Linked DNA regions of Lepisosteus oculatus. The protein of the gene in region 2 interacts with the protein of the main gene of each other region in a pairwise test. Links are inferred from orthologs where the notes say so. Each region holds a gene or a part of one and is shown on either strand. Other genes may lie near its edges.

The links.
Region 1: the proteins of ift20 (region 2) and nup54 interact in binary tests that used the Homo sapiens proteins (3 or more experiments, as listed by UniProt). The two-hybrid records come from large-scale screens. The link is inferred for Lepisosteus oculatus from reciprocal best matches to the Homo sapiens genes IFT20 and NUP54.

Annotation. Positions count from the first base shown.
Region 1 is NC_090698.1:66,801,028-66,804,780, forward strand, and holds the start of nup54 (nucleoporin p54), read left to right. Parts: upstream 1-1,407; 5' UTR 1,408-2,470; coding exon 2,471-2,510; intron 2,511-3,753. UniProt on the Homo sapiens protein: Component of the nuclear pore complex, a complex required for the trafficking across the nuclear membrane.
Region 2 is NC_090721.1:8,405,938-8,409,690, forward strand, and holds the start of ift20 (intraflagellar transport protein 20 homolog), read right to left. Parts: upstream 2,444-3,753; 5' UTR 2,134-2,443; intron 1,503-2,133; exon of another isoform or gene 1,498-1,502; 5' UTR 1,429-1,497; coding exon 1,302-1,428; intron 419-1,301; coding exon 333-418; intron 93-332; coding exon 1-92. UniProt on the Homo sapiens protein: Part of intraflagellar transport (IFT) particles involved in ciliary process assembly. May play a role in the trafficking of ciliary membrane proteins from the Golgi complex to the cilium.

The DNA of each region.
Region 1 (3,753 bases), on a different chromosome or scaffold from region 2:
ATACTGGAGGCCCTGTGTAAGCAGCGTTTGTGATAGGTGACAGAAATGGAAGGGAGGGAGGCTCCAATGATCTGTTCATCTGTTTCCACAATTGTTTGCAGGGTCTTGTGGTCTGAAGCGTTGCAGTTTCCAAACCAGACAGTGACACAGCTGGTCAAGGTGCACTCAGTGGCGCTTCTGTAGAAGGTGGTAAGAATGGGCAGGGGAAAGGTTTGCCCTCCTCAGTCACCGCAGGAAATAAAGATGCTGCTGTTTTTTCTTTCTTGGCTAGGGAGGTGGTATTGAGGGACCAGGTGAGGTCACCTGTAATGTGTACACCTAGAAATGTGGCGCTTCTGTCTCCACAGGGAAGTCATTGATGTGCAGTGGGGAGTGATCAGCGTGGACACTTCTGAAGTCAATGATTATCTCTTGTTTTGTTTAAATTAAGAGATAGGTTGGTGTTTGTGCACCAGTCCACTAGTTGCTCCACCTCCTCTCTGCATGGTGACTCATCATGGTTGCTAATGAGGCCCACCACTGTCGGCAAACTTGATGAAGCAGTTTTGATGAAGCTTGGCAGTATAGTCGTGAGTCATCAGTGTGAACAGCAGTGGGCTGAGCACACAGCCCTGGGGGGTTCTGGTACTCAATCGGATGGTGCTGGAGATGTTATTACCGATCCGGACTGTCTGAAGAAGTGGAAGGATAAGATGTGTTGTAGCTGGCTGATTAAGCATCTTCCTGTTGCCATGCTCATGTTTCTGTCTGAAATACAGTTGTATTTCTACAGCACCTTTCATCTGAAAGAGTTTCATGCAAATGGAGAGACCCGATTCATTAAGCACTGAAGTGCTGCACACGCCTGGGGCGAGCACCCTGCCACACCCCAGATCAGGCAGAGAGGTGAGAAAGTGAATTCAGGGGGAACTGCAGCTCAGGCACACTGTGCAAGCTCAGAGTGGAATTAAGATAAAATAAGATAAAGATCACTTTATTAGCCATATACAATGTATATTCCTTGCACTAGGAATTAGTCTTTTCGCATACCCCAGCTTGCTCTCCATGAGACACGCAGTCAGGGAGAACTTTATATCTGATTTATTTCTTAATTTAAGTCTGAATTCTTTCAAAATACAAATGGAGAAGTAATATCCTACCAAATAAAGGAACTTCTGTGCTTTCAAAAAATATACACTATAATATTAGAACAGCACGTCTTTCTGCCGAGCCCTTAACATCATTTGAACTAACAAATCGTTGCCTTGCGTGGTTTGAACGACAACCTTTAAATTCTGTTCTTAAATTTTGGAGAAGGGTTAAATTACCTTCTCCTCCTATCTTGGAGGAGAAGTAGCGGCTGTTATTTAAAGGGAGCTGCGGCGGCGCCAACTGTCTCTTAAGTGAAAGCGCAGGATGAGGAGCATTTGTTTCAAGGGCACAGAGAATGGCTACCTGGCAGCCTCATAGTTCTGGTAGAGAAAAGCAAAGGGAGTAAAAAGATAACTCGGGTGGGTTTACTGATCACATCTCCCTCACGAAGGCAGATGAAGTGTTCCTCAAGTTGGGTTGTGGGATAATGCGAGGTGCCAGATGCTTTATAGTACGGTCCATCTCTCCGGGGGGCGGAAGCTGTGTCCATATTTCTGACATTAAGGAACAAGTAAAGGTGTATTCCATGCTGAAAAGAGAAGAAAGGAAACAACGTGCTGTGGTGCCTTCTTCGGGTGGGAACGCAGCTACCTGAACTATTTCTGGCATTAAGTTGAGTTTGTTCAGTGTGGCCTTTGGTAGGGTTACCATACGTACGTTTTTTTTCTTGGATATATTCTCCTGTTCAGTTCTTAACCGCCGGTAAATTTAAAATGTCCGGGACTTTTTTCCTTTACTCTTTTCCCCCCAGTGGTTATTTTAAATGGTTCTTGGGACTAAGAAAGTATCATTCGAGATAGAGATTCGGTGTTGAGTTGATTACAGTCGTAGTCTAAATCGTGTCCCCGTCCTGTTTGTTTTCCGTTTTGAACAGGTATGCGATTTAATAGACCCGAGTGCAGATAACCAGAACCGCCCTCTATTCCACGAAAATTATCTTGTCCTTAATGCATCGCCCCACTGTGATTCCCGACGCGCAGAGCCTTAAAATCATCACCTCTGAACCCGAGGTTGTGCTTCTCTCCCAGAACAAAAAAAAAACAAATTCTCTCTTCAGGTGACGGGGGATCAGCAGACTTTACTAGAGAAGTTAGGTCAGACAGAAACTCAGATGTTTGACGTGCTTCGTGGTGACACCAACAATTGCTGCTATGAGAACGACCTCTGTGTAGCTATATGCATGTATGGAGTTCAATAAAGTGTGTTGCCATTTAAACGTGCTGCTCCTGTCTGAGACACGCATATAGCGCAAGGTTCCGCGTACGTAGGAACTCGTTGTTCGAGTAGCCCGGGTTTCTACACGGAGCCTCCATGTAGACGGAACCGGAACACATCGAACATGGCGTTTAACTTTGGAGGCGCTCCCTCTAACACTGCGGGTAAGTGTTGTAAAAATATGTTGTGTTGGTCGTTATGGTTGCAGCCGAAGGTCTCTCCATATGGCTGTCTTATCAGATGGAAGTGAAAAATTAGTTTAAACTGTGTTGAAACTAATGTTTTCTGTCAGTGACGGGTCTCTTGTCTCCGGCCGCGCCGTGTTGCAGGTTGAAAGACATGTTAGGCTGTTTTATAGCCGGTAGGCTGCCTCTGTTACTTTACATTAGTAGTTCCTCATTGCACTTCAGTGGTTCTGATATAGGTTCATTTGGTATTTATAGTGTAGTTTAAAAAGTATGTTAAGGATTGATATAGACTACAGTTTGGGTGTGTATAGTTTTACAGCTTTATATTAGCATGTAATTGATCTTGCATTTGGATATGCTATTGTGTTATTTCATGACAGCTGATATTTCGAGAGTGATCCAGAGAATGAAAAGCAAAGCCTGCCTGAAGTATCCAGAATTTCCACTGGATAATGTACGAGCCCTGTGCTTGATAACTTCTAACATTGCAATACACGTTAAAAATCCTCACATAGGTACCCCGTCTACTAATAATTTCTGCAGGACACACACTCATCATTTGATAAGCAAGCACAATTGATTCCAAAATGTCTTCGTAGGCGAACTCTTGTAAAAGCGACAATAAATTCCCATTTAAAAATCTCCGATTCGTTCTAAGTGCTCAGAACTGGACTTAAACCAGCTGTGTTTAGGTACTTTTCTGATGTTTTTAGATAGTTTGGCACCATAACTCGCTAAGTATACGTTACAGATAGAACTTATCAATTTATCAACAGTTCGTTTTTATGCAAGCTGATATTTTAAATGTATTATGAAGCCGTGATGTGGAGAAATTAAAATTTCAAGGTCTCTGGTACATGAGAACAATATATATGACATTAACATAAAAAAGGATTTTTGTTTAGTAAGACAGTTTGTTCAGTTAATAAATCTTGTGCTGTCAAAGACTTAATCCCTGTATTGTAATTTTAGTATAAAAGTAAGATGGCTCCTCAACCTGTCTGGTCATATCAATATCGTGAATTCATCATAGTGCCCATAATCAAAACATACCATTTGTATAACATTTTGTGAATCAATATTATCTTTACAGATTATGTATTCAAAATATTATCCATCCATCCATCCATCTATCCATTTTCTAAGTGCTTCATCTAATTCGAGCCTATCCTGGCAAGCAACACTGCAAGTCCATAGCAGGGCGGACTCAGACACAGCC
Region 2 (3,753 bases):
ATCTTCTTCTCTGCGATCAGAGCCTGGAGCTGCTGCTGTTGGGCCTCCCTCTGCTTGGCCACTGATTTCAGGAGGTTCCTGGCACCAATTGCCTGTAGGGGGCAGCACAGGACACAGTCAACAAGGAGGTCACCTTTTTTGAGGAGTTGTTTTACTAAGGTGCAAAGGCAGGTGCATTTCAGATAGTTTTACAGGCTGTGGGAAAAGCAGGATAGGAGAAGATTCATTTCAGGTGTTAAACAACAGTATTGGATAGCTACAGTGACTGAGAGATCGTCTTGCAATTTACCGTCTTGTTCATGACGTGAAATCATTAATGATTGAACCCGTACCTTCATTTTCTCTGTCTCAGCCTCTTTTGCCAGCTCGTCCACCAGCTCTATCAACCCTCCAACAATCTTCTGAAACTGGCCAATCTCTGAAAAAGAAACAGTCTGACCCTCGGCTCCTGCATAAAACTTACCTGGATTATTTTTTAAATATGCAATACCAAATTTAAAGGTTTTCTGTACAGAAATGTGTATAATTATCAAGTCAATTTAAAGCACTACCAATACATGAATGTTAATGTTGTCATTAGATAAGTGCAAAGACATTTTAAACTACTCCACTTCCACACTACATTAACAATTTCCATGTGCATGTACCACAGCCCCTCGAACTTGGCTAAAGATTTACTTTAATCTTTCAATTACAGTCATATTTTTCTGCCACTTTATCCTGTTTTTAATGCTTCCTTTAATGTGGGTTTGTACAGCATCTTGAGATGCAGAGCATTAAAACTGGTGCTTTAGAATTACAATTGAATGGCACGCAAAACAATAATAATTGCTTACACTTATATAGCGCTTTACTGGACACTCTACTCAAAGTGCTTTACAGATAATGGGGACTCCCTCCACCACCACCAATTATGATTATTAACAATTTAACGGCACACAAAAGCTACCGGCCCATTTTGATTCCTGGGATTGGGCGGAGCAGTGGCTCTGTGGCTCACGATCTGCGCCTGTGGCTAGAAGATTGCTGGTTCAAATCCCGCAGCCGGCAGAAGAATCCTACTCCGTTGGGCCCTTGAGCAAGGCCCTTAACCCCAACCGCTCCAGGGGTGCTGTACAATGGCTGACCCTGCGCTCTGACCCCCAGCTTCTCTCCCTGTCTGTGTGTCTCATGGAGAGCAAGCTGGGGTATGCGAAAAGATAATTCCTAATGCAAGAAATTGTAAAGGGTTAATAAAGTGATGTTGTTATTATTAAGCATTCCTGCCCGTCTCCCCCGGCTGCTCCACCTGCTCCACTTACTCTCCACAAAGTCTCGGCATTCCTCCTTCAGCTCGGTGGTCTTCTGGGCCACCTCGGGCTCCAGCACGCGCAGCTTGTTGAGCTCGTCGAAGTGGAGGCCGGCTTCCGCCAGCGAGTCCTTCGCCATGATTGGTGGGCGGGCCGCGGGAGGGGCTTGTGAAAATACGTCATAGAGACATGTTTAGCACGGTGCAGCCTGTCCTTAAAAAACAAAACAAAAAAAAGCCTGTGTGAAGGGGTGCATGACTACGCGAAGCATCCCCCAAATGTGGTGTAAGCTTGTTCTAAACAGTCACCGTGACGGCAGTTTCTGATCACTGCTTTGCACACAAAACAGGGAAAACGCACGATACGAAACTTAAAGAAACTAAACCTTCCTTTTTTGTCCCTCTGTTAACGGTAACACAAATCCACAATGTAGACACCAATGTTCGGGTTACATTGCAGGTGGTTTAAGAAAATACATACCTAAATGACGGACTGATAACGAGAGGACGAGAAATGCAAAACGTAGTGTAACGTAAGCCTTAACAGTTTTAAGTAGTTCTTGTCTTTCTCTGAAACTGAAAATGTTGCATAGCCAAGAATTTAACGTGCTTATTTACAGGTATTCCAAAGAAAATATCACGCACCTTTCAAATTGGAATGAGGAAAATTTTTCTTTGAAGAGGAAATACAACGTCATTATTGACGCCTATCCAAGAATTGTTAGAAAAGTAAACATACGGAGTTCGGATTGCAATCACAGTTCGTCCGGATGAACTTCATTCATGCCAGTTACTTAAACACTATTTACATACTTTTTACAACGTTTACTGAAAATGTAACTCACCGGACTTCAGTTGTTTTTTTTTTAAACTGCTGAATTACTCTGAATATGTGTCACGTCAGACTCCTCGTATGGTTCTTGTTTCTGCGGCTGCCAGGGAGACAGTCCGATTCCGACCAACATGGCACTTCCGCAGCGCTCGCGCTCGACCCGTATATTTTTCGTAGGAGTGGGAGGCGGGCTAGTCGTAAACAACAACAAAATTCCTTGAATATGTTAGCGAAAGAAGCGCTATGATTTGGATTTAATTTACTAACTGTTATAATTCATCCGATCATAACTTGATTTATATTATGTTATTTCAATGTTGTTTTTGTATCCCGATACTTGAAATTCCCTTTTGTTTATCGAATGGTTGATTCCGTCGGGTCGCCTGGAGGACGGAACCATTTAGCATCGGCTAAGGGGGAGATTAAGTATGAACGGAATCTGTAATTCCCAAAATATGCAGTTAATTTACATATTAAATTTTAATTTCAATGTAATTTGGTTTGAAAGTACAATATGTTTCTAATTTTAAGCGTCATGTTCTCGGTGTTTTAAACTCGTCTATAATGGTATCGTTGCAAGACCTCCAGGCTTTTGTGGTAATTGTAGTTCCTTTCTGGCTTTTCTCATTACCGAAAGGAAACTGCAAGGACTACAAAACCCCGAATTCCCCCTAATCCCTCCTTTACATGGAGGTGATGTTTACTGTGGTAAGCGAAGGCTATGACGTCTCAGTTTAAGCGAAAGAAGGAGCTTGACGTACCTGTCCGGAGAAACAAGGCCTGAAGAGTTTACTTGAAAAGAGACGTCGATTTAGCGTATTGGAGAGGTGAGACCCGCGAAACGCTGCATCGTGTTTAACGTCGACCGAGGAAACTGCGATATGCTTCATGGCGCGATTAAAGACTTTAATTAGATTACAGGTTGTCCCCCGGTGGAAGTGGGCGGCAGTTTTGGATGAAAGATTTAGCCCCGTGAGGCAGCGGCAGCCGAGTTTGGGACGGTGGGTGGGGACGCTGCAGTTGCTCTCGAGTGTGACTGGAGTGCCCACGAGTGAATTTATCCACTTTTATCGTTTTCCCTGCGCGGATTAAGCTTCGCTAGCTACTGTATATCACGACGTCATGAAAGTCGACGGTAAAAGTCAGCTGTGCGTGAAGTTTAAATTGATTGCTGGGCGGCCGAGAGCAGGAATTGAAACACAGTTCAGGCTGTAACGGCGTCTGTTACTGTAACAGATCAGCAGAGCTGAGTTTTCACGTCGCATTTTCCCTACGAACGCGTACTAAAGCGAGTTATTAATTCTGAATTAGTTATTGACAACAATGAAAGAGAGTTCCCAGGTCCCCATTTAATCTGTGGGGAAAAAAAAAACCTGTTGTACAGTTGTGATTCGGAGACCCTCAAATTAAAAATACAGATCTATTTTCAGGGGGTTTGGGGGTACATTCAAACACGGCGCAGGGAAGTAAGTTTTAAGCCCTTGGTTTTTCGACTGAGAACGTAGCGATCTTGGTTGGCAAGGACCCGGGCTTCTGGAAATGACTCTTGTGTCTTAGGAAGTGTCCCCTTCCCCCTGTTTTTCCGACTCTCTTCCTGCACGACCTGGAGCCCGGCATTGACCCTCCTCTCTGC